Danio rerio: one gene and its partners. The protein of the gene in region 1 purifies or fractionates together with the protein of each later gene. This does not show direct contact. Links are inferred from orthologs where the notes say so. Each region holds a gene or a part of one and is shown in the gene's direction. Other genes may lie near its edges.

What was found.
Region 2: the proteins of usp10 (region 1) and ptenb purify together in Homo sapiens (affinity purification with western blotting; 4 studies listed by BioGRID, with this or other methods). This does not show direct contact. The link is inferred for Danio rerio from reciprocal best matches to the Homo sapiens genes USP10 and PTEN.
Region 3: the proteins of usp10 (region 1) and eif4g1a purify together in Homo sapiens (affinity purification with mass spectrometry; 4 studies listed by BioGRID, with this or other methods). This does not show direct contact. The link is inferred for Danio rerio from reciprocal best matches to the Homo sapiens genes USP10 and EIF4G1.
Region 4: the proteins of usp10 (region 1) and ikbkg purify together in Homo sapiens (affinity purification with western blotting; 3 studies listed by BioGRID and IntAct, with this or other methods). This does not show direct contact. The link is inferred for Danio rerio from reciprocal best matches to the Homo sapiens genes USP10 and IKBKG.
Region 5: the proteins of usp10 (region 1) and yap1 purify together in Homo sapiens (affinity purification with western blotting; 4 studies listed by BioGRID). This does not show direct contact. The link is inferred for Danio rerio from reciprocal best matches to the Homo sapiens genes USP10 and YAP1.

What each region holds. Positions count from the first base shown.
Region 1 is NC_133182.1:74,661,891-74,667,749, reverse strand, and holds part of usp10 (ubiquitin carboxyl-terminal hydrolase 10), read left to right. Parts: intron 1-865; coding exon 866-911; intron 912-1,272; coding exon 1,273-1,332; intron 1,333-2,122; coding exon 2,123-3,316; exon of another isoform or gene 3,317-3,420; intron 3,421-3,584; exon of another isoform or gene 3,585-5,859. UniProt on the Homo sapiens protein: Hydrolase that can remove conjugated ubiquitin from target proteins such as p53/TP53, RPS2/us5, RPS3/us3, RPS10/eS10, BECN1, SNX3 and CFTR.
Region 2 is NC_133187.1:19,016,892-19,023,177, reverse strand, and holds the start of ptenb (phosphatidylinositol 3,4,5-trisphosphate 3-phosphatase and dual-specificity protein phosphatase PTEN), read left to right. Parts: upstream 1-2,045; 5' UTR 2,046-2,668; coding exon 2,669-2,747; exon of another isoform or gene 2,748-2,815; intron 2,816-3,260; exon of another isoform or gene 3,261-3,560; intron 3,561-6,193; exon of another isoform or gene 6,194-6,216; coding exon 6,217-6,286. UniProt on the Homo sapiens protein: Dual-specificity protein phosphatase, dephosphorylating tyrosine-, serine- and threonine-phosphorylated proteins.
Region 3 is NC_133177.1:19,188,051-19,193,909, forward strand, and holds part of eif4g1a (eukaryotic translation initiation factor 4 gamma 1a), read left to right. Parts: intron 1-1,359; coding exon 1,360-1,511; intron 1,512-1,590; coding exon 1,591-1,683; intron 1,684-1,765; coding exon 1,766-1,844; intron 1,845-3,674; coding exon 3,675-4,379; intron 4,380-4,464; coding exon 4,465-4,553; intron 4,554-4,711; coding exon 4,712-4,883; intron 4,884-5,859.
Region 4 is NC_133198.1:21,478,521-21,484,379, reverse strand, and holds part of ikbkg (NF-kappa-B essential modulator), read left to right. Parts: intron 1-409; coding exon 410-562; intron 563-656; coding exon 657-747; intron 748-1,312; coding exon 1,313-1,456; intron 1,457-1,579; coding exon 1,580-1,716; intron 1,717-3,951; coding exon 3,952-4,025; intron 4,026-5,859. UniProt on the Homo sapiens protein: Regulatory subunit of the IKK core complex which phosphorylates inhibitors of NF-kappa-B thus leading to the dissociation of the inhibitor/NF-kappa-B complex and ultimately the degradation of the inhibitor.
Region 5 is NC_133193.1:40,215,431-40,221,289, reverse strand, and holds part of yap1 (transcriptional coactivator YAP1), read left to right. Parts: exon of another isoform or gene 1-76; intron 77-2,132; coding exon 2,133-2,266; intron 2,267-5,859. UniProt on the Homo sapiens protein: Transcriptional regulator with dual roles as a coactivator and corepressor. Critical downstream regulatory target in the Hippo signaling pathway, crucial for organ size control and tumor suppression by restricting proliferation and promoting apoptosis.

The sequences.
Region 1 (5,859 bases):
GGAGAAAGTAAAATCACTTGCGCTTTTAGACGCCCTTGTAAGCAACAAGACACACAGGTTCTGCTCTTGTTCTTGGCTTTGTGGCTGTTCAGCAAGACGACGACTAGGTTTGTTTAAGCTTGGCTCGATCATGACTTTTTATTATGTTTATATTATTATGGTTTCATGTCTCGGCTGTGCATTTAAAAACGGTGCTTCCTGTGTTTTCATTCTCCTGGCTTGTGCATACACTAGTGACACTTCTCTGTAACCAATAGCGTTTAGCTGTGTGTATAGCTGTGTGCCTTTTGGTACCCTTTTGTTTTGCTAGGTACTCTTTGGAAAAGGTACCCAAAAAGTGATACAATAGGTTTGCTTGTTGGTTTGTTTTGACAGTGGAAACGGGCATAAAAGCATACCGACTCATACCAAACTACTTAGTGGAAATGGGCCATTAATGATCCTTTACATTTTTCTTTAAATTTGCCTCTAATGCAAAAAGTAGTCTTAATTTATTTTTTTTATTTTGCTCCCTGTTGTTGTTGGTATAAGGCAAGTGTAACTTAAAATACAGAACACCTCTTGGCATAATATATTACCAATGTGGTGCCAACATTCTCTTTGTTTACTTTTTTTCTTTTTACTCTAATAAAATGCCAAGTCATTGTTTAGTTTTTACACATCGTTTTGCTGTCCATTTTGTTTGTACATTCGACTCTGGCCTTCCATTCCAAAGTACATGTTATAATTTTTTTTTTAAAAACCTGTATTTAGTTTAGATAACATGCGCTTGCATTTATAGGGTTAAGGAATAAAGGTTTGTTTGTGTGCATGTTCTTCTATTGACTTGATGTGATTGAGTGATCTCATCCAAATTTCTTATCAGCTTCCCCCGTTCAATGATAAAGTCACCTGCGTCAGCCATTCCTCAGGTAAGATCAAAGCTTCATCTGAATATCACTACAAATACTGCTACAGAAATAAAGATATGAGTTCTAGATTGCAAGATCCTTAATTACTCCCACGTAAGCAAACACAATGGTTTTCTATCATGTATTATGCTTTGACCATAGCTTGCTTCGTCACGCATGGGATACAGAGTTCATTTATATTCATCTGTCCTATTCGCATCCTAATCCTTAAATTGTAGACTGGTCCTCATTCATCAGTTGTATATAAAGCTCCTTGGGCTACGTTCCCATCTCTGTAGTCTTAATAATCTTTCCCGAGACAGTATCATATTGCCCTCTCAGGTAGTTGTGACCTTCACCCTCATCTGTATCAATTATTTAGGAGGTTACTGCACTCCTGCTGTGCCTTACATAACGGAATCATTGAGACGGCAGGTTTGCGGTGAGTTTTCGGTCCACTACACACCGCCTTAATCTTCTGTTTTTGTTGCAGAACTCAACACTTAGGTCTTAAACACTGACAGCTTTCTAAACCTTCCCCTTTACCAAACCTTAAACCCCTACTTCTTATTCTTGCCTGTCCATTTAATCTTTGGAGCTTTGCATGCCTAGGTGCCAGGCGTCTCTCTGGCGCATAAGCATCTACTTGCAGTGTTTGGAGTTGATGGGAGGCTTTATTTTTGGTATTACTTTTTTGGAAATTCTCTCAAAAAACACATCACATCTAAGAATATGACTTCATGGACCATTTTTCAGGACCTCTAACAGAATATCACCTGAACATGTGACAGTGTTGACTTATGTTGCTTATGAGTTTGCCATCCATTTCTGCCTAAAATAAAACATCTAAAATGAATACTAACAGAGGATGTGGTCTTATCTATTCTTTGATCCATTGCTTGGGAACTTGTGTTCCCTTTATGACTTAAGGTTGCTTTACTTTTCTGACTACTGGCTACTTCTGAGACTCGAATTCGTAGAGTAATTGTGACTTGCATTCACTAACACTGTTTCCATTCACTTCAATCTATCCTTCACTGCTTAGTCTGCACCGTTTAGTACCACAAACACTTTCAATTCAGAGTCTTTGTATATAAATAACTACATGGTACCTCTAGTATCTTAGTAATTGAGTGTTTTATAAAAAAAAAAAGATAAATCAGATTTGTAACAGAAAATCATTACAATTATTTAGATGCACATGAGTTTAACTGAGATGTTTCGATCTGCAGGAGAGGACTACCAGCATATTGAGTTTGGTGTGGATGAGGTAATGAATGCAGAGCCTGTGGCAGTGAAAGACTCGCTGTACAAAGTCTCTAGCACTCTTAATCCTCAGGCCCCTGAGTTCATCCTGGGCTGCCAACCATCTCAGAAGTCCCTTGCCACAGCTACACCTGTTGCTGATATCCCGGACGGTGCCGAGTTCAACTCCCTATGCTGCAGCAACTCTGAGACCTCAGACATGGGCAGCCATCAAGCCTGCTTGGACATGGATGGGGTTTCGGGTGGCTTGGGACAACGGAAGAAAAAGAAAAAACGACCGCCGGGATACTACAACTATCTAGAGGGTTCAAACAGCAACAGCACTGGTGTGGCCACAGATGGAGTGGGGCCCCCAAGCCTGGTCAACGGACATTCACCAAATGCTCCACTCCTGAGTTCAGAGGACTTGGTTGGGGACATTCTACCTGGGGCAGAGCTAATTCCCCCAAATTCTATAACATCTGCACCCCAAACCACCCCACTTTCCAATCAGAGGACTTGTGAAAGCCCTGACAATACATTTGACTTGACGAGTGGAGCTGCCTCTTTGTTAGACAGAAATGGTGCAGCTTCTTTGTCTACTTCATCTTCGTCCTCTCAGAGCAGTGGGGTGGCACAGAGTGCCAGGACTGCAGAGCAACATGCAGAACCCCCTGCTTTAGAGAGCCCAGTACTTCTGGATAACGGCGGGCACAGCTCCTCTCCACCTTCCCCTCTTCCCTGTGCTGCTCTGGCCACCCCTACAACCACAATTCCTGCTACTACTGATGAGAGGGAGGCCGAGGGCTTGGGGGAGGCCAACGGGCTGCCAGAGACCGCCTCAGCTGCTGGAGCTGTGGATGAACTCCAGGACTCCTCTGAAACGAGTGAGGTGCAGTCTGCTTCCTCTCTAACCCCTCTCTCGTTAGACTCTGACGTTCAGCCGGTGGTCTCGCCTGTTGTCCCGGCAGCACCTGCGATCACCCCACCGAAATCCTGGGCAAGCCTCTTCCACAACTCCAAGCCTCTACCTGGAGGTCCTCAGGCGTATGTTGAGGTGAAGAGTGTGCCTGCTGTTGTCACATTCACACCGACTGCCTCCGAGTTGCCTGAAAAGGTCAGTGAGGTGCGTGAAGGCCCTGTCCCCGTGTCTGAAGACCCTATGGCCCCAAAATTGGCAGGTAAAATTACATGATGTTAATGGTTGAGTCCAAACTGCAAAGAATGCTGTATTGCACTAAATGTAGTTGTTTGCTTGCTGAAAGTTACACCTAAGCAAATTTTGGTCCAAAACAGGGGTCCACCAACCTTGTTCCTGGAGAGCTACCTTCCTGTAGAACTCAGCTCCAACCCTGATTAAACGCACTCGAACCAATAAATAGGACCTGATACAGCACTTGATAATTACAGATGTTTATGGAAGGTCAAGGTTGCAACTGAAATCTGCAGGAAGTTAGCTCTCCAGGAACAGGGTTGGTCACCCCTTACTGGAGATTGGCTGCAAGTGTATTTTAAAAGTTGTTCTGTTGTTTTTCAAGGATTGCTTGGTGCATTCTCTACTAAATGTTAAATTCACCCAAAATGAAAATTGGTCATTTAATCATCATTCCATAAATTTTTCGTTCAGTTTACTCAATGTGATTGAAAGGGTCGTCGCTGCAGAGCATCTTGGGTAGAGCTCACCTCCAGGGTGGGGGAGCTTAAGCTCCAGCTCCTCCACCTGTAAGCTGTTTTAATGCGTAGACCTACTCCACCCCTAACCCCAACCCCCAGTGACGTCACTTGTAGAAGGACCGGGAGCTCTAGCTCCCCCATGCTGGAGCTCAGCTCCGCCCATGTAGCTCTGCAGTGAGTACCACTTGATGCAAATGTTTTTTTTTTTTCCAATTTTAAGGTTTTAAGACCATTTTGTTCATCATGTGAAATAATTGTATCTTCAGAATACTTGGGTCAAACAGCTTTCTTTATTTGGAGCGCTGGCTTTCAGAATTGTCAATTTTGAACGGAGAAAGTTTTATCTCTTAACTTATTTAAAAAAAAAAAAAAGGTATAACCTGAAATCTGCCTACACAATATATTTACCTGTTTGCAAAGATTCGTACCTTTTTACTCCTAACATTCTTGTATCATGTTGCAGAATCATGTCAGATTAAATGTTGCTTCATTGTTTTACATCTCAATAACAAATGCATGCAGTTAAAGAAGGCTGAACAAGCGACTTGTGGAAATGAGGTTTATTATTAAATGTAGACCATTACACAATATGAGCCCAATTTGACAATCCATATTGTATGGTCTAAAAGCAGAACTATTTTACTTGTATAATTGTGTGTTCAAAGACTTTGGTTTGTGACATGTATTTATGACATATCTTGAATTAAATAGAAATGTCTGGTTTATTAGCTTATAATTAACCTAATATTTATATATTTGCCTTGAATTTACAGTAATGATTAGCTAATTAGACCCCCCCCCCCCAGAAAGATCTCCGAAAAAAAAATTGTACTTGTTTAATGTTTATATTAGTCATTTTCTTGCAGCTGTTTTTCTCTACAGTGATTGTACATTGTGTTGGTCAAATACGGAAAGCTCCATGAACATGATATTAATCTGTTGCTGTATTCGTTTTAATGATAGCTGTGTATGATCATGTTTTGCTATCTGCCTTAGCTTTTTAAAATTAATGACCTTTATTATTATTATTTTTGTTTTTATGAACAGTATTTCTGCGTATTTTTCAGATTTTTATTTGAGATTTTACAGAAGAAATCAACAGCATGTAGCTTTGTAATCACACTAGTGTCAGTTCTGATTTACGGGCACACCATTTCTTCTTGATTTAATGTGGGTTGTGTTTCTGTCCACAAGATGGCAGCAGTAGCATGTTTTATTGCTGGCACCAATAAGTTCTCTGTCCTGTTAACCCTAGACTGGTTTTTAAAGCATCTCGGCTCCTTTAAAAATATGTCTGTCTGTGTCTACATCTATCTATCTGTCCATTCATGTCTGTGTGCTTGTTTGTTTTTCTGTCCATTCATCTCATCTATCAATTCATATATCTATCTGTCCAATCATATGTCTGTTGTGTCTGTATCTATGGTTCTATCTATATATCTTATCTGTCTATCAATCACCAAATGAATATCATATTTGTCTGTCCATCCATTAATTTATTTGTTCATCTCTATCTGTCTGTTCTTCCATCCATATATCTATCCGTCCGTCCATCTATCTGCCCATCTATCCATCTATATATCTATCTGTTTGTCCGTCCGTCCATTCATATGTCCGTCTGTTCTTGTATTCATCTATATTCATCTGTCTGTCTGTCTGTCTGTCTGTCCATTCATCCATCTAGCTATCTAGCCAGCCATATATCCGTCTGTCTGTCTAATCGTCCGTCCTTCCGCCTGTCTGTCGATCCATATATTCATTTATATCCGTCCATCCATTTATCTGTCTTTCCGTCCATCTATCCGTTTGTCCATGCATCCATCCATCTATCCATCCATTCATCAGTTCGTCTATCTATCTAGTCAGCCATATATCCGTCTGTCCATCTGTCTATCTATATAGCCAGCCATACATTTCCCTGTCTGTCCATCCATCTATATATCTATCTGTCTCCGTCCATCTATCTGTCGATCCATTTCATCCCCCTTTATTTTATGGTTGCATTCCAAATAATCATCTCGTTTTGATGAAAGGCTCACCCAGGTGCTGT
Region 2 (6,286 bases), on another chromosome or scaffold:
TTAGTAGGTTCTGCAAATCATAACCTAAATTATTAGCAAGTTCTAGAGAGACTGCATTTAAAATCTATATATTGCCATCAAAGTCAAGGACTGATTTACATTAATGACCCCAAAACACTTACAATTGATTTCAGGTGTTATATTAATAATCTATTAAATATGTACAGGTTTTGCGTGAGACAAAAGGGTAGTCATTTTTTCAAAGTTGACATTCACACAATTTGGACTTGACTTGTTATACTTGTTCTGAAGTGTTTTGCATAGTCCCTTATAACATAAACCTCAAAATATATTTTACAATAACATTGCTTTTACCATTGACTAGACCATGACAGATCTGTGCTTTACAAGCATCTTTTTCTACCTCAAAATCTGCTGACACTGAACTGTATGTCTTTAAAACATACAAGTTCATAACATTATTATGAATACAAAATTCATTGCATCAATTCGTATGTTTGTTGCACTTTTTAAGAGAGGACAAAACTTAAATATAATCTATACAATATTATGTAGCTAATGTGAAATTTATCATGGATAAAATACAAAAATGATAACAAAATAATAAAACTTGTTTATCTACTGCTAGTACCTACTACATTCAGTTGACACAGTGGATGCAGTTTACATTGTGACTGAACTTCTAGTTGACATTACTTTTAACGAGATATCAAAGTTATAAACACATTTTTTATTTATTTATTAAAAACAAGAAAGTTGATGCATTTAGATCTCCAAAGTAGGACCTGCTGTGCTGGCTAATGTTGGCCCATGGTAACCTTTGATTTGTCTCGCCAACCCATTTGAGAAGAAAGGGAGAATTGAGGAGGGTTCTGAGATTGTCATTTAAAATTAAATGTAACCCTTTGTTTGTTTGTTTATTTGTTTTATTGTTAAAGCCTAACTGAAATTGAATGTTTCAATTAAATGGTGTAAATTACTCAGATTTTGTTTAAATGTGCATACTGTCACCCGGCAATGCAGAGATTTTGGTGAGCAAATCAAATCAAAGGCAAATTGTGCTTGACTTCTGTATTCATATTCATTTAAGTTTTATTGCAATAATGTTTTCTTTTAAAAATGTATACTGCATTAGTTAATACAATTTAATGTAACATTTATTTTGTACACAAAGTAACAATTATTTGGAAATATTATGAAACAAATCACTCATGGCAACTTTAATGTAATGTAGTTTGGTATATTTACCATCGGCCACGGCTCTCAGTGATGTTTGGTTTTAGGCCCTTCTTACGAAAATGTTTAGGCACCACTGGTCTTGTAGCATACGAGCTTTATTCTAGAATATTCTGACAGATGGCGCTCTACAATAAGGATTTGCTGTCTGAAACGCAGCTAGAACTTTCCACCTCCGTTTCGTCCTTGGGGCAAAATCCACATCTGAGCAAACGTAACAGAACACGCCTATAACACAAATACATAATTAAATACAATTAGCATCACAGGTGGGCGCAATTAATTTCTATAATTTAATGTACAGGTATCTGGTAATATGATTGTGCCTCTGTGCAGTAACTTACTTTTCTGCTGGCGTAAGCATTTCAGTAATTTCCTGCAGGGTAGTCGAGGCACTGGTGAGAGGGGTACATAACTTACGTGCATTCTGATATTTTCTCCGTGTTCAGAAGTGGGACTAAAATAAACGTAGGTTGTACCTTTCAGTTATTGTGTGGCAAGCCAATTAGAGTTTGTTTCATAAAAGGAAACGACAATGTTGGAGCGGAACACCTACATAACTGACTTGAAATCTGATATAAAATATTGGAACTTGGCTCATTTCTGTAGACACGTGACCGTGGAACAAAACGTAGTCCGACTGTGTATTAGTGCGCTCGCAGTAACCCTAACATTAGATAGTTGATATATTACTTAATTTAACGCCATGTCAGCTCAACAAGAATGCTTTAAAATAAGTATATTTATATACTAGGATGCAAAAACATATTTGTTGTTGACATAAAATGAAATAGCCGTAGAACTATTTGCCAATGCGGATGAATATGTCGTCCGAACGTCATCTTTTTTCAATGGGAAGCCATGATGGAAGTTTGAGAGTGTAACAGGCAGTGGAGCAGTGGAGGATAAGGACAGAACCGGAGGTGTCTCTTACGCCACATTTAAATATCGAGTTTTTCATTTCTTGGTGGAGGCTGTCACATTTTGTTTCATGTGTTGGAACCTGGTCATCGCGGATTGTCGTAGAGTTTAATGGCTTTTATTTTCTAAGGATGTGTAGACGGGCTAGCGCGTTAGCCGTTGAGGCTAGACGGAGCGCGAGCTGAGTGCGAGCGGGGCTCTGACGACCGATCTTCAAGTGGAAGCACCGGAGAGGATTTTCTCTCCGCCTTTCCGCTCAATCACGGCGGCTTCGGTGCGACCAGAGACTTGTCGTGCACTAGAGATTCTGCAGTTCCAGACGTGGGAAGTTGCTTATCTTTTCACCCAGGGCTCGTCTGAGCCGAGGAGGGCATTTTGGAAGCCGGGCCTGTGGTGGTTTGGAGCGAGGCCCTTGATGAGTGAGCCACAGCAGACTCCATTCTAGCTAGCTGGGGGACTGCGAAACGAGCAGAGCATAAAGACGACCGACCGTCCGAAAGCAACAATACTCTCTCTCACACTAAAAACCCTAAAGACTCCTGTCACAGCCATGGCTGCGATCATAAAGGAATTTGTCAGTAGAAATAAAAGGAGATACCAAGAAGACGGGTTCGACTTGGACTTGACATGTATCCTCTTTGATCAATCAAATGTCCCTGTTCTGTCTATTGTGTTGAAACCAGTGTCGGCAATGAAGGTAACGGCTTGCATCTTGTTCCAAATCAAGAAATCTCTGACGTCCCGTCCGAATATAAAAAGCTATGAGCATTTATTTACATTTTTTGCTTTTCCCTTTTTATAGGAACTATTGACTGAGTCCCCGATTGTACATGATGTGATCTAGATCAGTTGGTTTCTGTTCCTGCATCAGCTCAACGCCGTTTAGATTAATGTCAGTTGTTAATTTATCCACGTTATCGAGCCGTCGTTTCATTTATACGGTTATTTTAGGCTTGTCTGCAAGTTACATGTGACGACTACAATATAAGCAACTCCAGTGAGGTCATAAAATGTCATTTTCCTCATTTTACGTAATCTGATCTATCGATTGACCGCTAATCTGCAATCTAACTCCCAAAATGTTTACATTTCAGATCAAGACAGTTTGGGGGTTAATAACAAAAGACGCGTCGCAGGTTTATATAATGCGATGGATTAGATGAAATGCACAAGCAGTGTCACACAAAGAGCATTGCATCAGCTGCTCGCAGAAAATAGATGCTTGCGCTCAACTTGTAGTTTTGATTGACCAAAAAAAAAAAAAAAAACAAGTCCGTTCACACGCAGGCGAACAAAAGGAAATGCTTTAGTATGTGAAATATGCCTTTTTGTAATCGCAGGAAGGGATTCGTGCAGTGCAGCGCTTTATATTAGAAGCGTCATTGACGTTTGTTCCCCCGTTTGTGCAATATGTCAACGTCATTTGACAATTTCAAGCACAGGTATTGTATGCATATACGTTATTTGGCTTGTGATCGTTGCTTTCAGGCAGTAGCTTTATATCCTGGTTGATGAAGTGTTAAAGCACGAGAGGTCTGGTTTTATTTCAGCAGGTTTCAGTGTTATTGAAGATCCTTTTGATGGAGCTTTACCGCCAAGTCTGATGTTTATCTACAGTCCATTGTCCTTTTATATAACTCTTAGCTGTTCTGTAATATAAACTCGCATATAAGATTAATTTATATATAAGAATAATATTTATATATAAGACATTAACAAAGACTAGAAGGATAGATAGAGGGCAGGATCAATACATTCAAGATGAGCAATAAATTCACTTTTCAATAGCATTAAGAGTATGCCATGCCTTTGCATGTTTTGATAATCGTTCAATTTTTAGCATATGCATACATTGAACAAGGTCTAGTGTATTACATGAGCCATCCTGTAAATGAATTGATCGCATGGACATTGATTTGCCCCAGCCTGCTCAGATGGTGTGTGGGTCACTATATTGACCCATTGCATTGCATCATGCAATGCACTTATTGCGTTTAAAACACACTGTCAGGAATAAATTTTAAGAATGACTTCATTCTTTCAGTCCACTTTTGCTATAATGATAAAGCAATGCTATCTATGGCAAAGATCAGTGAGAATACACACTTTTAACTTTACAATTCTTATCACACATCAGAAAGATCGTTAACTAGACATACACATTTAATCTGTCTAAGATCAGTGAGAATATATACTTTTCACTTTACAATTCTTATCATAGATCAGGAACGAATGCAAACTAGACATACACTATCTTTTTTTTACTTTAAAATATGTAAAGTTAGTCTAGATTACACTAAAATCAGTATAGAGAGTTTCAAGATGAAGAAAACTGGCCTTACTAACACTAGACCGCTATTGTTCTTGCATGTACACAGCGCTGAACCAAAAAGGTTTAAATTCAGCATTCTGTTTGATCCCTTTATATCAATAATTGGTTAATTTAGAGTTGTTTTTATTTTAAATTTAAAGAATGTTTGAGCTTTTATGCTAATATACTTTATAGTGTGCCATGAATTAATTGCAATCTTAAATTTCCCATTGATTCCTGTAAGACTTTAACATCTCATTAAAGATAGCTGAGGTTGTGTAGGTAGTAAGTTGGCAGCTCAACAATATAACATGCAGAACTTTGTATTATGTTAGTGATGTAAAGTGAATGGCTCTCCAACTTTGAGTCTCACACTTTTTTGTTTATAACCATATCTGTTGTGGCTAGTGTAGGGTACAATGGTTGCTTCATTCAGTGCAGTTTTCTTTTTTTTTCAGTGTTATGTGTGGAATGTATGTTAAGAGATACAGACTCTTTCATTTGTTGGCAAGAAAGTTATTCTGATTTAAAGTTTGATAGTATTGTGCATATCTTTGAAAGCTAGATAACTTGGGAATGTGTGTTTTGATATTTGGTCTAGCAATTTATATAGGAACGTTTTTGCGTGTTTGATAAGGCGCTTGAATTTACTAAAGTTCTTTGCGTTTCAGACTTTTTGAATCAAATAATCCTTTTGGCCCCTGAACCATTAACAAATAGCATACGCTGCAAGTCTAAAGATAACATTTATGAATATATGAATTTTATTGTTTTATGAGCTGTTCTTTAACATACTCTGCTTTATGTTTTAAGCATTGTTTCAATTCTTGCATAATTGTAAAAGCACTTTTTTTCTGAATTCCGCCAGTTTTAAAAGTTTTATGCCTTTTGAAAGTCCTTCAAAGAATCACACAGTCCCAGAGCTCACACACATGTCGTCAAAATGGTTCTTTTGCTGAAATGTGAAGTTTGCCAGATCAGGAGTGAGAACCGCATTCTGCCACACCATTCGAGAACACAGGAAGTCCAGATGTTTCTTTTTTCATGAGCTTTTTGTCAGAAACCATCATAGTTTAATTGTTGACGATAAATTGTAAGAAAATAAGTTATATTGGCAATATATTTGATACAAAAAGTGATTCTAATAGACGTGTATATTTTAGTTTTCTTACACTATTAAATGAATCATTCTAAGAATTAAAGTCATAACTTGGATTTTTGTACTTTCATACTTTAAAAAAAAAAATGGACATGGATAGAATAGCTTTGCAACTAGTCATTAGTTTATTTTATTTGGTCTTAGATTGTAAATATCTGCATGTGTATGTTAGCCCGAAAGAGTGATGCACTGGTTATGGAAAGGTGAGGAAGGAAAGTGATTCCAGGCTGGGCTGAGGCACAGTGTGATTTATTTAGTGCCCCTGTGTGGCCCTCTGGGTTAGAGGTCTATGCATTGGTCTCTTGCAGCGAGAGCCATCTGTTCTATATTACCCAGAATCCTGTTATCTGAGCTCTCATTGCTCAACTAAAAAGAAAAGCGCTGCTTTAGTGGAAATGCTGAAGTTCTCCGTTGAAACCGAGGCTTGATGTTTGTTGGTTTTCCTGCTCCTTGTGGCGTCATTTGACTGCACTGCATTGTTCACCAACCTTGCCTCAGAGTTTTGGATGCAATTTAAGACAAGCATCCGGTGGACTTTACATGTGTATTCATGTTTAATCAGATGTTATGTAGTTTTGTTTTCCTGTTCATATCAACTTTTCTAGATTTCCTTAACGCTGCTGTACAGACATTTATCCTAACATAATAGCTATGGGTTTCCCTGCTGAAAGACTGGAGGGTGTATATAGAAACAACAT
Region 3 (5,859 bases), on another chromosome or scaffold:
ATGATGGTTATTGAAGAGTTAGTTCACCCAAAATGTCAAATCTGTCTTTACTTGCCCTCATGTTGTTCCATATACATTTGAAGATCTGCTAGATTTCTTCCTCTCCATTGACACAGCCTATGACACTGCCACTTCAGTGTTCCTGAAACGAAGTGAAAGCATCCTCTAAGCAGTTCTTGTGACTTCAGATACCTCAGCTTTAAAGGAGCACTCCACTTTTCATCATATTAATAATATTAATAATTACCAGACCCAGAGATTGACTGACTGGAAGCAAAAATGGTAAAAATCACCTATTTAACTGTAGAGGATTACAAAATGAGCCTATTTGCCCAAACAGTGGAGGGTTCAAATAATTTTCTGAAGCAATGAGGTGAAAAAAGAAACTATTTTTTGACGTTTACAACTTCTACTTTGTGCACAACAGTGCCACAAATTGTGTTATTACACAATACATCACTTCCTGTATGTAGAGATGCCGTGCTTTAATTTGACATGGTTAATAATCATAAAGGCTTCTCAACATCACGTTTCATGGAACAAACTGCTGTAACTAAACTAGCTCTGAGTTAGGACACCCCTGCATTAGACTATTTTTATTATTTATTCTTATTTTTATTCATTTATTCATTGTTCTGTCATTTATTTTCAGTGTAAATTTATTACTTAATTTATTACTTTATTACTTAATTTATTACTTTATGCCAAAAATTAGTTTTCACATATTTCTAAGTCAAAAGGGAAATAGTTTTAGGGACTATTGTTTTTTTATTATTATTATTTTGTGCTGTATTTAGTTACTGAGCAGCAATAAATAACTCTTTCAAATATGAGGAGTTTTTATGTTAAGTTTTTTTTTTTTACTTTGAAATGAATGAATGCATAATAATCATGATAACCATGATTATTTCTCAGACTAATCGTACAACCAAAATCTATATCGTTGCATCCCTACCTGTACCTCAGCTCCAGTGTGAACAAAGCACGAATGCGTGGTGGTGCTGTCTTGTATCGAGGAAGTAGTACAAGAAATGCTCTTGTGAGCCTGCATTTTTTAACGCAATTTTTACTACCTTTCTGGACCCTTCAATGGAGTGGCATTAAGGATGAATTAGAGTTTTGAGTGTATAAAACAACCTGAGGATGATTATTACAGTTTTTGGGTGAATTAGCCTTTTATTATGAATAGAAAGAAGCTATGTTAATGAAATATTGATTTTTCTTTGTTTTCCTCAGGGAGTCTGGAAGTGATTTTACAGGGTAGGGGGGTACTTTGCATGTGGGTCCCCCTCCCATTACAGCAAAAAGTCTTATCTTGGTGTCTGATCTTGTCTTTTTTTTGCCTTATTTGTGGTCTAGCAGCTGCCTACTACCCTGCAACACAGCAGTACCAAACGCCAGTGCCTCCTACACCTGTGATGATGAACCCTGCTCAGCAGCAACAGGCTCCACTTCCACAGCAAGCTGCTCCACAGCCGACAGGGCCAGTCAAACCCAGAGAACGCAAACAGGTGGGTGGAAACGACTTTTGCTGTGTTTTTCGATTTAGTACTTTTTTTTTTTTGTCACTTACCTGATGCCGCTTAACAGATAAGGATACGTGACCCCAACCAGGGTGGACGTGATATCACAGAGGAGATAATGTCTGGTGGAAGAACGACTTCCACACCAACTCCTCCACAGGTTTGACACTTTCATGCTTTTGTTCATTATGCCATGCTCATTTATATTACAATGAGTTCATTGTTTTGTTTTGTTTTTCCAGACTGCTGGTACAGAAGTGGGAAGTCCAGTTCAGACCAATGGTGAAAGCGTTCCAACTTTTCCTGCTGAGATCAGCACTGGTGAGTATACATTCTTAATAATAATAATAATAATAATAACAAGCAAAAAAAGTACATTATTGCCAAAACTGTTTTTCCATCCTGAAAAAAGTGGCAAGTTTCAAATGTGATTTCCATGTCTGATAGATTGGATTTATCCACTTGCGTATGCATCAATAACCTCAAAATAAGGAATGTTTCAATAAGGAGGTTGAACCAACTGGAAGTTTAAATCTATAAACTGAGTTGACTTACTAAGAGATTAAAAACTTAAGAGTTCTGTTTCAGAAAAGCGGATAGGAGTTGGGTCAATCAAGTCTGAGTAGACTGATTCAGAGTTAAGCGTGCACACTGCAATTATAAAAAGGTATTATCAATGGAGCGTAGATAATGAGTCACCATGGCAACATCTGAAAAAAAAGAGATCAGCATTTTTCTCCAGCTGAACCTGATGTGCTCATGCAACAAATACAACCATATATTTAAAAAAAAAAAAAAAAAAAGCAACACCACTGTATCAGCGAAACAGAGACTGAGTGTGGAAAACATAGCTATTTAAGTTATTGTGCAAGTTTACGTTTAAAGTATTTAAATATTGAAGAATAATAAAAAATTAATAATGTAATGTGACGTTTATTGACTTTTCACTTAAAGTGGGGAGTTGGCCGTAATTTGAAAGTAATTTCAGACGTAATTGCATTAAATCGTATAAAATAGGCTACTGCATATTTTCTACTGCAAATTTGACAAAACAAGAATGCATATAACCTAAACTTGATGTTCAGAAATGTTTAATTTAAGATTCCCACTTTTACTCGCATTGATCAGTTTAGGATAAAATTTCTAAAATTGAGTTTTTAAATGGATTTAAATGTGCACTCATGTGTCTGAGTAAAAGTTCTCTTTCAGAAACAGGCTTGGCTTACCCTGCTTTCTTGAGTTTGCCAAACCTGCCATTTAAAAACGGAAAACCAAGAGTCTCATTTCAGAGTTAACATACTTTTGAGTTGATGGAGTTTTCACTGTGTTCCAGACCAATTTAAAAAAGTTAAACCTGTAAAAGTGTCATTGTTTTCTATTAAACACTTATTTTAAATGTATTTATTTTAAAAATGTTGCTAAAAGTACAATTAATGGCAAAGATTTACTTCAGTGGTGTATTGTCACTACTGTGGGGCTTAGATGTTACCATCAATCTGCAGTTTTACTAACAGGCTTAGCAGCAGCCTGATACAGTAGATAAGACTGATTGTAGAAGACTGAAGAGCTTAATTTGACAAAAACAACAGTCTGACATACTTTATTTCGCTTATTGCCCCAAAACAAAAACATTTGATACAAAACATTGTTCTGAGTCATAACAGTCTATTAATTTAACTAAAGCAAAGCTGACAGAAACTAAAACAGCTGACTAGAGCTGATGGAACTAACTTGCACATTGTTCAGTCACAAGATGGTACCAAACACCAAGCAGAAATGAAACTGGTTAAATGGAGCATAGATCAACCTATGTATTATTCATTCTTAAGATGGGGCCAAACAGTCAAAAACAGCGGTGTTACATAATGTAACACTTTAATTTGGATATTAATATATGGATGTGAACACAGGTCATGGTGATTTTGAAGTTTACCAAATGAGCATCTGCTATTCAGCGGTTGTTAACTGGGAATAATATACCTTCGAATGTCACAACTGACCAATCAGAATTGAGTATTCCAGACATCAGTGTAATAATTTAAGAAATTTCTGCAGCTTGTCATTTTTATCATTTTCATTTTTGTCAACCATCCATTTTGGTTAGAGAATTTATTTTTATTTTTAATAATGTTTACTCTGCTTGATCTTCAGATGATGAAGTGAAGGCCATGGTAAGTCCTGCATCTGCGTCCACCCCTCCTCCATGTAAGACACCAGAGCCCCCAGCACCTTCATCCATCGACTCTAAACCCGAGTCAGAAGTCAGACCTGCTTCACCAGAGAGCAAGATTCCCAGTCCTCCAGAAGAGGATCTTGTGGTACCCTCTCCTTCTCCTCCTCCTGCAAACAATCCCCAAACTTCAGAGCCTCAAATTGCAGACAGTGTGGATGCTCCAGTGCTCCCTGAAGCCTCTGCTCAGAAGGAGCCCAAGGAGCCCTGTGCTCCTGTGGAGCCAGAGGAAGCCGAGGAGAAAGAGTATGAACCTGTGGCTGAAACAGAAGTTACAGCAGCCTCAAGTCCAGCTGTTGTCGCCTCCAGTGCGGTGGAGTCTTCTCCTAATGTAGCTGAAGATCGTGATGGTGCCCCTGTAATCACAGAGATGCCCGTTCCAGAACTGGCTGCCGATGAGCCAAAGGAACAGCCTTTGTTAAACGGTTTGCCCCAGGACTCTGCAGAGGTTCCAGATGTAAAGCCAGAGAGCTCCGCTAATCCAGTTGCTGAACAAGTGGTTCCACAGGACCAGCAGAGCTGCCTTACAGCTGTTAAAGCATCTGTGGAGGAAACCGAAAAGGAGAAAGCGGAAGAGGCCCCCACCCCTGCACCAGTCTGCCTTGTTGAAGAAACAACTATGCAAGGTTGGTAAATTATTAAATTAGGATTGTAAAGAATATTATTTGTTTATCTCCTTTCCAAGTTTGACTCTAGTTACTGTCTCCCTAGCTGCCTCCCCAATAGTGCTAAAGAAGAAAAAGAAGATCAAGGATCTGAATAAGAAGGATGTTGGAGATGTTCTAGATGCCTTCAAGGAGGTTTGTGCTGTCATTATACATTTGTTTTTACAGTAGCACCTTTTGTGATTTTTTTTTTTATTTATTTTTTTATTACGTTTTTATTTTCTTTCTTTTTTTTTTCTTTTTTTTTTTGTGTGTGTGCATCTTGATTTAAGAATCTTGTGTACCCGTTTCAGCCAGAGGAGGAGAAGCCAGCTCCTGAGCCAGAGGTGGTTCAGAAAGAGCCCCCAGCCCCACCAGTGGAAGAGACAGATGAAACATGGGAGGAAAAAGAGGACAAGCTCGACACAGAAAATATTGAGCCAGAGGCATCTAAACCTGTGGAACAGAAATATCAATATAAAGAAGGTTAGAAGCAAAGTTAAATAAGCTTCATTAAAGATCACTCATCCTCTTATAGGAGCGCTTTAATTCAGGGGGGAATTTTAAAGCATTGTTTTGCGTTGATAAAGTCTTTATCCGATCAGTAAAACTGGTCAAGTTTTATATTATTTATTAATTTCTTTCAATGTTTTAAACTAAAGGAAAAATTTCAGCTTCCTTTTTCTATTCTCCACAATCATATGATCCTTTAGAATTGATAATAACATGTAAATTAGGAGCTGACAAAACCTTTATTATTTGAATCAAGCAAATTTTAATTACAAAGTTTGGTATAATTTGGTGAGAATAGGGGTGAAAAATGACCATTAACCTACCTTAACTTAGAACTTGATATTTTATGTATCAAGACTTGACTTTAAAATACATTTACATGCTTACTCATTTCGTTTTTGATTAATTACATTTACAATCAACTGCTGTCAAAAAGATTCCCGTTAAAACTAATTTAATAATTTACAAATTATGCATTGTGTGCTTGCCAGTGATATGTTTTGTAAAGAGATACACTACGTCTACGCACATTCATTGTTTTGCATGTCATGTTGTGCGCCAATACTTAACCTGTTAAATGCATATGTGAAACATCACAGTATTCACAAAAAAAAAATCACATTTTAAGTAAAATGTTATTGTTCAAAGCAAACACTTTGCCACCATTTCCCCCCCTCAAAGTTGTAGTTTAAGGGTGGTTTCACATCTAGACTTTTATTTCGGAACCTGTCTCCATTGCCTAGTTAGCATGGTTCGTTTGGCATATGTAAATCCAGCAATTGCGCTCGGATCCGCGCCAAAACAATCGCTCCGAGATCACCTGAATGAGGTGGTCTCGGCTTGATTGAAACGAACTCTGGAGCGGATCGATTGTAGTAAGAAAGCGATATGATCCAAGCACGGCAATTTCATAGTGTTTTATGGATATGTAATAGGCATATGGCAATAC
Region 4 (5,859 bases), on another chromosome or scaffold:
TATATATATATATATATATATATATATATATATATAAATATAAATAATTGTTTTATAATGGTATTTTAACTCATTTTAATAAGTTAACTAGGTTTAATTGAATGTCTTTTGTCATCAGTTAAAGTAAATTAATGACTAGAAAATATAATTTGATTTAACTAAAATAATTTAGGTTGCAGTAGTGTATTTTTTTGTGCGAATCATGATTATTAATAAACAGATATGTAATTTATAAATGTAAATTTTACATTAAATAATAATTAGCACAAGTGTTGCCATAAAAATAGCCAATGCTGCAGATGAGGCGTTAAAAAAAAAAATTAAGTGATAACAGAATAGCAAATCCTGAAAGGTCTGCTCTTTTTTTTTATCAGAGCATCTTTGTATATATTATCGGTTTAATCTCCAGGCTGGTCACGAAGAGTGAGCGTCTGCAGACTGTAGAGAGAGAGATGGAGCAGCAGAAGAAGCAGCACAGCGTGACGGTAGACAATCTTTTACTGAAGACACAGAATCTGGAAGCCGCACTGAAGAACGAGAGGCTCGTCATAGTGGAGGAGAGGTGAGTTCAGCGGGATGTAGAAAGCAGCTTCTTGCTGTGATTGTTAGAGTTGTGATGGCAAGCCACAAATCCTGTTGCTCTTCTTTTTGTCTAGGAGGAAGCTGGCCCAGCTCCAGCATGCATACACGTGTCTGTTTCAGGATTATGACAACAAACTTAAAAGCGAAAAACAAGCCAATCACAGGGTAGGTATCTGCTGTTTTTAAACTGTTTATTGGTTATGGTACCATTTTCCTTTAACATTTCTGTTCGTCTTTGACCAGTAATGAAGAAAAAATGTAAAAAATAAATGAAATGTTTTATTTTTGTATTTATTCATACGTTATATTTTTAGAGATGGCTTTATATTGCTGTATGTTATTTTATTTATTTAATTAAATTATTTATTTATTTATTCATTTATTTATTTAATTTAACATTAGCTTGTTTTAATTTAAATTTTTGATTGCTTTTTACGGTGTGTGTGTGTGTGTGTGTGTGTGTGTGTGAGAAAGTCAATAAACCCAATAAAATTACATTTATTATTATTCATCATATTTGTAATAAATATTTTATGGTTACAAATTTAAATATGTAAATGTTTTAGAAAGTTTTCTCAATAGTAGACACTAGTCATTGAACTTCTCTTAAATTGAAACGCTACAAATCTGTGACTTCATTTTTGTGGTAGACACTTAAAATAATAGGTCAGTGCATGGTTTGTGCTCTATAGTTGTTCATGGAAACTATGTGTGGTATTTACCTTTTAAGGGTGGAGAGACGGATACCCTTGCTAACAGGTTAGGGGAGGCTGAGAAAGCACTGGCCCTCAAACAGGAGCACATTGATAAACTCAAGGAGGAAATGGAGCAGCTGAGAGCTAAATTAGAGACCATACCGGTGCTGAACCATCAGGTGAAAATATACTTTGCATTAAAATTAAACACTCATTTTTTAGGCTCTGCTATAAATGTGTATACGATTTAGATCTTGCATATAGTAACACAAACACAATGGCGACATGTTTTATTTTTACAGGCAGAGATCTATAAGATGGACTTCTTGGCTGAGAGGGAAGCCAGAGAGAAACTCAATCAAAAGAAGGAAGAGTTGCAGGAGGATCTGAATAAGGCATTGGTCGAGATTGAAAGATTCAAGCAAGAAAGAACCTCACGGTATCAAAGTTATTTTATGTATTGGTTAAATTGAATGTCTCAGGGTATCCGCTGAGTCTTAAAAAGTCTTAAAATGTGTTAAATAGCAAAAACTATTTTAGGCTTTAAAGTCTTAAATTCACAGAAATATTGTGTTGTAGGTCCTAAATCATTTTAAACAGGTCTTAGTTTTCCTTTTTTTATGTAAAGCTACTCAATTAATTCAACCTATATCCAATCACCAACAATACATCTAAAAAAAAAACTGTTAGCAAAACTCTTTTTATAAATAATACTATAACAGTTTGTTGTGCATACATTTAGTTAAAATTTTTATTTTTAAAGTTTTTAGTTAGTATTTATACAAATAGGGTCTGCTTGTTTTGATATTTTAAATATTTAAATTAGTTATTTTAAATATGTGGCTAAGAAATAACTCATTAGAATTAGTTTTTTGATTGGGAAAGTATTTTTTTAAAATCCTTCGCGTTAAGTCCTAATAAAGTGTAAATTTAATTCTTGATGGTCTTAAAAAGTCTTAAATTGGACAGAAACCCTGATATTTGATGGTTATTTCCTCAGTTTTTGCATTTAGTTTAGCTTTGTCATTATTTTCTACTTAATTCAGCAGATCCCAGTATGTATATGCATGATTGTCATTGTGCTTTTTAATGCCTAAAATCACTAGTAAATAACAGAATGTAGTTTCTAGTTTATGAATTAACTAACATGAAAATAGTTTTTATGTAAGATTTGCATTTCCCATTACTGTCATCCTGCCCCGTTTTAATATCATTATTTTTAGAATTATAATACTTAACTATTTTATATGAGTTTTGGGGATAAAGAATCGATGTGTGGCAAAAGCCCATCTATTCAGGAAGAAATCTTCAAGTTCAGCATCTCAATTGGAAAAAATGTCCATTTCAAATCAGTCCATCCATCAACCTATAAAACACCAGCAGTTTTTATCCTTGTTTTACCATGGTGCATGTCTCTGTTATTTGGCTACACTTTGAATTCAGAGCATGTCTGAACTAAATTTCTAATGTAATGTATAGGCCATTATCCCACACCGTTAATCCCTCTTTGAGTCATTGATTGATCGATAGAAGCGAACTGCTTTTCAATATTTGATGATAACAGCGAGCCTCTGTAGTGAACAATAAGCAAAAACTCGGTTTAAGAGAATTTTCTTTGGCTTCAACTTTAAGTTTTTAATATACATTTAAATTAAAAACAGTAGCATTGATTTATGTTATCAATCTCTGCATTTCATTTAAAGGTGCAGTAGGAGATCTTCCACAATGCTAACAGCTTAGCATAAATCTCTGAATCACAGTCCCTCCCCTGCCGTCTAGAGCCACGCCTCCTGAAACACAAGCACAGCAAAAGAACCCTCTCATGTGTTAAAAGCGACTAGTGCATGTCCGGCGGCATGCAAGCCAAACTGACATGCTATTTCAGAGTGAATATTTAGAGTTGCATGGTTAACAATATAGGGAGAGACTAGGCGGAATAGTGGCGTTTACTTGTGTTTTGTTGTTAAACTAATTAAAATCTCCATCATTGATGCTGTAAAAGGACCCTTATGAAACTGAAAATAGTCTTATCAATCTTTCATCGGAAGATTTTAGGAGCTGAACAACACTTCTGTGAAGATATAACCCAACATCTAACGTTACATCAGCTTAGCGTGAAGCTAAAATAATTTTAAAACAAAACATTACCTGTCTAAGAGAAGGCCTTCAGACATGGTGTCATCCTTTCTCCAGCGTGCAAAGGTAACTCCAATATTGATTCAGGTTTTTAAAAAGTTTTGATTCAGCATGTTTTTACCAACCGCGCGCGCGTGCACGCATTCTCTCTCTCTCGTGAACGTGCGGCGGTTCGGCAGAACTGCGTACAAACGGCTGCGCAGTTGTTCAAATCTGCATTTGCTGACAGACAGATTGAGCTACTTATCGGAATTATGAGAGATGTCCGTCCGACTCTATTTAATTGGATGAACATTTTTTTGTTTTATGCCTTACCCAAAATATAAAAATACATTAAAATAAATTTAGATCATTTACTGTAATCATTACTATTAGACTGTGAAGAGACTTTCAACCAGTACAACAAAAATTGCTCCTGAAGACAATCACCTACTGCACCTTTAAATTAAAATCTAAATAAATTCAAATGAATTGCATGAACTAATGTCCTCTCCCTCCTGTTGTCCAAGCGTTTGATGTGAATGTTGTTTCCTCACAGAGCTCGCATTGAAGAGATGCAGCAGAGACACTTGGAGGACTACAGGCCTCGACCTCACCCGCCACCTCCAGCTGGTAAAACACCTGTTTTCTTCATTAATTAATACACAGGTGCTTTATTTCCTTTAAGTTAGTTAATTAGATTTACAGGCTACATGACAAAATGCATCTCTTTAAAGAGTCATTAAGCCACTGTTCTCTCACCACAGGCCACAAAGGTGAGGTGTGTGTGTGTGGTAAAGCTACTGAGTGTAGGGGAAGTGGTGAGACTTGGGCACCACACAAATTCACTGAAATTTGTTTTAAAACATAATTTTTATGCTTTGTGTTCACATAGCTAACTATATATATATATATATATATATATATATATATATATATATATATATATATATATATATATATATATATATATATATACACATACTTATATATTCTCTGAATATATTGTTACAATGGTAAAAACAACAACAAAGAAACTTGACACAGTAGAGCAGAGAAACCCTACTTTCGGAAAAGCAACACAGAGAGAATGCAGAAGTATAAATGCTCACAACAGAGTCAGCTACGTGCGAGAGGTGTGCCGTGGGCTACAGAAGTATACATTGCAGAAGTATAAATTGGGCTTATCCCAGAAGATGAATCTCGTTTGAAAGGCATTTTTGATGAGGACAAGACTTTAGCTGCGTTCTGGTCTAATTTTTAAGCCCTTCACTTGCCACTTTACTTTCCTTTGTCTCATTCCCTCGGATGTATGTCATTGATTACGTTACACAACTATACACTGCTGGTGGACAATCTGAATGGGTTTTAATGGAATGCCCTAACCCCTTAAACACCTGGGACATACACTGTTGTGATATCACAATCACATTAAATTCTAGGTATATATAGGTTCTGAAGTGTATGTATGATACCAAATCACTCCATCGGCTAAAACCAAGGGATCGAGGGAATGTCAGTGTAAACTTCATGAGTGTGCTTCTAAAGGCTGGTTTATACAATAAATATGACCCATGGCGCATACCTTGCAAGTTGCCGTGCATTTAAGTCTGATTTGTACTTTTATGTCAAGCACACGTGTATGCTCTGCCACAGCCTGCGCATGGTCGCATAGCCCTTGCCATGGCCGACACCGATGCGCACCTCTCAAAAAAATGTAATTACACTTTACAACGACAAATGAATGTAGGCGAGACGAACTGATGAGTGTTGGCGAGACCGAGAGCCTCGCGAACCCATTGGAGCGAGTGAGTCCCAAGATAAAGCTCCAGATGAAAACTTCTGTTTTGTGTTTTCCTTATGGTTAAAGTTAATGCATATCCGCTGATTTCTGCCTCAAAATGAGCGCGTTTGAGCCACTTGTACATTATGGTAGCATTGAAAAAGAATCTCAACACAGAAGAACATAAAAACCTCACTGCCAGCTAGTGTTTCAGAAGTGTTACTGCAGAGCAACACAAAGTGCACAGAAGTATAAATGCATGACAATGCGCGAGGCAGGCGCCAAGGGTCTCCCTGATCACACGACACAGAAGTATAAACTAAGCTTGAAACTAGGCTGATTTATACTTCTGCATCAAGCGCGCACATATGGCCTGGCCCAGCCTTTGCGCTTTTGCATAGCCCTCGCCATGGCTGATGCCGAAGCTGATGTACACCTCTTAAAAAATGTAACCACACGTTGCAATGACGCGTAGCGCAAGCTCTGTGATTGTGATTGCTCTGTGAAGCTCTGTCGGCTTAGTAGCAGTGACGAGCTCGTGTTTACAAGTGTCGAGTCTCGTGAAGGATCTCCAAATGGAAATTTTTGTTTCATGTTTACCTTATGATTAAAGTTGTTGCACATCGGTCGATTTTTCGCCTCTGAATAAGCTAATTTTATGGCCCGTTTCCACTGAGTGGTACA
Region 5 (5,859 bases), on another chromosome or scaffold:
TGACAATTTTCTGGATTTTTCTTATTTGTTTATATAGGGTATTTTCATACATAGTGGACAAAAGGTTAAAGAAAAATGAAAATAGCCTTGGATGCTGATATGGCATTCAATAAAAATACACCATTATCATCATCATCCATTAAAGAAAGAAAAAGTATAGTGGTCAATAAAATTATGTCTTTATTAATCAAAAATTACTGAAAATAAATGAATGAAAATCAGATATTGATTTCGAATTTTGGGTAAACAGAAGTGTTAAAAAAGGCAAGCTTATGAAAGTGGACTGGACAAAATTGAAATGTACCAACAATTTTGTCCATTTCTGTTTGTGTATATATGTGTATGTATGTATGTATGTATGTATGTGTGTGTGTGTGTGTGTGTGTGTGTGTGTGTGTGTGTGTGTGTGTGTGTGTGTGTGTATAATATAAAATATTATTTACTATATGTATATATATATATATAACAGTTATATATATAACATTATAACAGTTGAAGTCAGAATTATCAGCCCCCCTGAATTATATACAATGTTCCCATCAGAGGAAAGAGACATTCAGATGAACAATTACAAGCTGCTGTCATACCATTTTTGAGAAAAAAAATCTATAAAATGGCATGACCACAGTTAAGTGTAATTCTTCCCTCTGAAATACAGTGCTCAGCAAATATGATTACACCTCTCACAAATCTCTCTTTGAAATTTGTTTATTTTTAATAGGAAGCTATACAATGTTATATTTGTGCAAAAACATTAGATTAGTCAGTACTGAGGCCAAATCTGGAGCTCATCTAACAAAATAATTTACGATAATGGCCAAAAAATGAGCACACCCAAATTTATGTTATGGAAAAATATTACATACGAATTTAAAAAAGAAAATAAATCAAGAGCAACAAAAAAAAGAGAAAATTGTATTGATTTTTTTTTTTTTTTTGCAGTATTTTGCTTTGATTTTAATAGTATTATCTCTCAATTTCTAAATAAGTTTGGTAACTAAAATATTATTTAAATAAATATATCTGTTTTGTTTAAATGCACCAGAATACATTGCCTATATTTACTGAGAAACAGATACAAATATTCATTTCAAAAATGGGCTATACTCTATTATGCTGAGCACTGTATATAATGAATAATAAAAATCTCAATGGCAATATTGTTATTTGACATATGGAAATGTTATCAGACCTTTTACACAATAATTCAAATCTTAACAATAAACTCAAACGCATATCTATAAATTTCTCAACTATTTTAACAGCTATATTCTGGATGCTATTAAATAATTCATTTTCATTTTAAGTACAGATGTTTAATATTCACTAATAAATGATAAAAGTTAAGATGGCTGTGCAAAAAAATTCAAATAAAATATGTTAATACTGAATAAAATTAAACTACTCTCAATTATACATATATTTTTTGAAAACGAATACAAAAAAATCATGTCAGTTAATTTAAATGAGTTTTTTTTTACATAATGTGATGAATAATTATCAGCTATGATGAGTGAAGTGCACTCAAACAGTCAAAGGGTCAGTGTGGATGGCGTGTTGATAAGCAGTGCTTGAATCATCCTTTAATCAGCAGAAATTGTGACAGTATTTAAGTTTCAATTAGTCATAGGAAGTCTGTAATAAAATCAAAGCTCTGACCCTTCTGTACTAAATGATGTGCAATAAACCCACACCTTCGCGTGAGTCTCTTTAAACCACTCATTTGAGCTGAGGCCTGAAGTAAGCAGTCTTACACAATCCATTGATAAATCATAACCAGATTTGTAACTCCTAGGAACTTGTTGGATGGGAAAAGGCTTTTATTTCTCACACACATGAAACTAAGTAAAACTTGTAGGTTAAGTTTTTTTTTTTTTTTGTCCTTTACTTCCCATAACTCATTGATAGTTCATTGTGCACGTATGCGTGGTTTCATAGTAAAACCAGTATAGTTTGTTCTGTCCTTTTTCTTCAGTAGAAAAATGTATCTGCTCTCATCTGTACTTGGAGTAATTCCAACAAAAATTAGCTATTCAGACTTCCGCTAAGCTTCCGTTCGGTTCCTGCAAACCCTGTCTGCTTGCTTCATGACGGTTTGAGGCATGTTGCTTTTGTTTTGTGTGTGTGTGCAGGAGCTCGCCCTCAGAAACCAGCTGCCAACCAGCATGGAGCAGGATGGCGGCACCCAAAACCCTGTGTCTTCACCTGGTATGGGCCAAGACGCCCGTAACATGACCACCAACAGCTCTGACCCTTTCTTGAACAGGTAAGACACATTCAGCTGCACGCAGAACACTGGTTATTCAAGAAAAGCTCACTTTTGCATTTGCACATGATTGTAGTTGGCTGTTCAAAAGCACATAAGGGCAGTGTATAACAAAGTATGTATGTAGTTTTGCTTGAAGCACTTTCATCGGTGACCTCTGCTGGAAAAGCTGGGGAAAACAGTCAAGTTGAGTTGAGATTTGGGGATAGTCACATTTCTGCTGAAAAGCCTACATTAAAAGTACCAAAGTACCAAATGAGAACTTCGTCATAAACAAACAAATTAACTTGCCCATGAATATGCTTAGCAGCAGTGTCGAGACAGAGAAATTGCATAGGGCTTAAAGTTATACACTACCGGTGAAACATTTGGGGTCAGTAGGATTTTTAAATGTTTTAAAATAAATTTCTCATGCTCACCAAGGCTGCATCCAAAATACAGTACACATTGTTAAATTGTCAAATGATATTGCACTATAAAATCACTGTTTAAAAGTAGTTGATCATTTAATTTAATCATTTATCCCTGTGATTTTAAAGATGAATTTTCAGTTTCATTAGTCCAGTCTTCCGAGTCACATGACCCTTCAGAAATTACTCTAATATTAATTATTATTATTATTATTATTATTAATCGTAATAGTAATAAGAGCCATAATGACTGGAGTAATGATTTAATTTGAAACTACATACAATATGTAATAAATAAATATTTAATTATTTAATAAATATGTATTTAATATTTTTTTTCATTTAATAAATGCTGCCTTGATGAACAAAATAATTTTATTTAAATTATTAAATAAAATTAATTATTAGAAGAAAAAAAAAACTGACCCCAAATTTTTGATCAGTAGTGTACATGCATGCATGCATAAAAAAACCCAACAACCTTCAAACTGATTCATTACAGTAATGGATCATTTTATTATCACAACCGTCAGTCGGCACCCACTGTTTTTACCGTGTTCATTGTGTCTTTGCTGGTGCAGTGTAAATGCAGACAACACAAGTCACTTTTAAGAGATTATGTAAGCGGGTTGTCAAACATATCGGATGCAGTCACAAAATCGGAATTGACCATCAAGATCTGCAGTGTAAATGCTGCCTTGGTTCACCACAAAATGAAAATGTTGTCATTGGTTACCATGATGATTTCTTCTTGTCATATTTGTTTTTTCCCCACTCTAAACCAAATGTCAAATTCCTTGACTTTTCCCTCACTTTCACTTGACTAAAAAGATAAATTTATATGACTTGTAATGGACAGAAAAACAAGAAGCAAAAAAAGAAGGAAAAAAAAAAAAAATATATATATATATACACACACACACACACACACACACACACACACACACACACACACACAAAGGAATCACTGACTATTGTTCCAAATACTTACCTTTGCTCAACTTGTAGAACTTAAAGATATGGCATATTTCTTTTCCTTTATTTATAGTTTTTTCATCCAAAACTCTTGACTCTTTATAAAAATTAAGAGATTTAATCCAATTCTACTGATGAATCACATTTAAAATGATGAATAGATATATATTGGGCTTTTATTCACATATATTAACTTTGAACAGCAAACAGAAACTAAACATTCCACGTCAACCAAACATTACTGATTAGCATTTATATTTGAATAAATTAAATCTGTTCATGATTTAAGCCAGTCATGTCTCCTCAGACAGATTCATACAGGTTTTTTAACCTCTTTAAGAACATTTTAAAGAGCTCTGCATGTGCAGATTTTCAAGAAATCTCTCAGATTTGAATTTTAAAAAAAAGAAAAGAAAAAAACTTCACTTGTGCTGAATGAACAAAATTTGTAACTCTTTAAAAAAGACAGGATGGTCTTTTCATGCAACACCCAGGGGCAGATTTAATAGTAAGCCACTTAAGGCTCGCCATGGCTGATGTCGACTTGCACTCTTTAAAAAATGTAACTACACGTCGCAACAACACATAGAACAAGCTCTGTGATTGGTCTTCTTGGGTAGCTGTGACGAGTGTGGGCGGTGCTGAGAGCCGATGGAATGAGTGTTTACAAGTGTCGAGTATCGTGAAAAGGAGCTCCAGATGAAAACTTTTATTTTGTTTATCTTATGATTAAAGCACATCCATCGGTTCCCGCCTTTGAATGAGCAAGTTTGACGTCCAAACACCAGTAAAGAAACTGGACATAGAGGAACTTAAAAACCTACTGCCAGCTAGCGTTTCTGAAGTGCTAATGCAGAGCAACACAAACAGCATGCAGAAGTATAAATGCACAGCTATGGAGACAGTCCTCGCTGCAGCCCCCAGCTTGATGACGTAGTTAACCAGGTCTGCTACGTGGTTGACGATCGCCTACACCTCCCCCTACCCTAAACCCAACCATCATGGTAGCATGAGCGTAAACTTAGGGCGGTACAAGGTCCGTTACATAGTTGACGATCGTCTATGACAGGGGTCACCAATCTCGGTCCTGGAGGGCTGATGTCCCTGCAGGGTTTAGCTCCAACTTGCTTCAACACACTTGCCTGGATGTTTCAAGTGTACCTAGTAAGACCTTGATTAGCTTGTTCAGGTGTGTTTGATTAGGGTTGGAGCTAAAATCTGCAGGACACTCACCCTCCAGGAACAAGTTTGGTGACCACTGGTCTACGATATCAAGCTGCGGGCTGCAGCGAGGACATCTTGCAACTACGCGCAAGGTATGTGCCGGTTCACTCGAGATAGAAGTATAAACCAGCCTTAAGGGCCCCAGGAAATTTGACGGCCCCCAATAAATACCTAGATGTTTTTATAAACTATATGAAATAGCATTTTGAGACATATTTTATTCTGTGAGTGTCTAACAAATACAGATTCACCCTGATTATCACATCTCTGCAAATGTGTCCCCCCACTCCCAATCATGGATCAGTCTAGCAGTCAAATCAGGTGAAGATTTAGTTATAAAAATCAAATCCAAAAGTCTATTCAATAATTTTAGCTAGGAATTCAATTTAAGCAAATAAATCTTAAAAAAATTTATAATTGCATTAAAATGGAGAAAAAAGACGGAGTGGTGTAAGAAAAAGGCAGCTAAATAAATAAATACAAATCCAATGGGTGCATATTACTGCAGGAATTGCTTAGGGCCCACAAATCACTAAATCCCCCCCTGGCAACACCATAAATCACACATATTACTATTGTTTTTTTATTAACCCATTTTTTTCTTTCTTCCTAGATCAGCATTTTTGTTCATTTTACCCTCTCATTATTTTTTAGTCCTACATACTACCTGTCATATGTGTTTGTGGTGTTTTGTCATGTAAATAATAATAATCACAAAAAAAGGAAATATGCGAGGGTGAGAAAATGAATGAATTTTAGTGCTTTTTCAGAGAATTGCGCCCTCCAGTGGCAGTCCAGCACATGAATCCATCCTCATAAGCTCTCATGTAAAAGATGTAAAAAGGCGGCCTGTGTGGTTTCGGTCTCATACACGGCCGTCCCCTTCACCCCCACCACTCACACTGCACTCACAAAGAGCTCATTCATCCAGCAACTCTCATGCACTCCAGCCACATTTCATTCTCTTCATTAGAGAAACTTGCT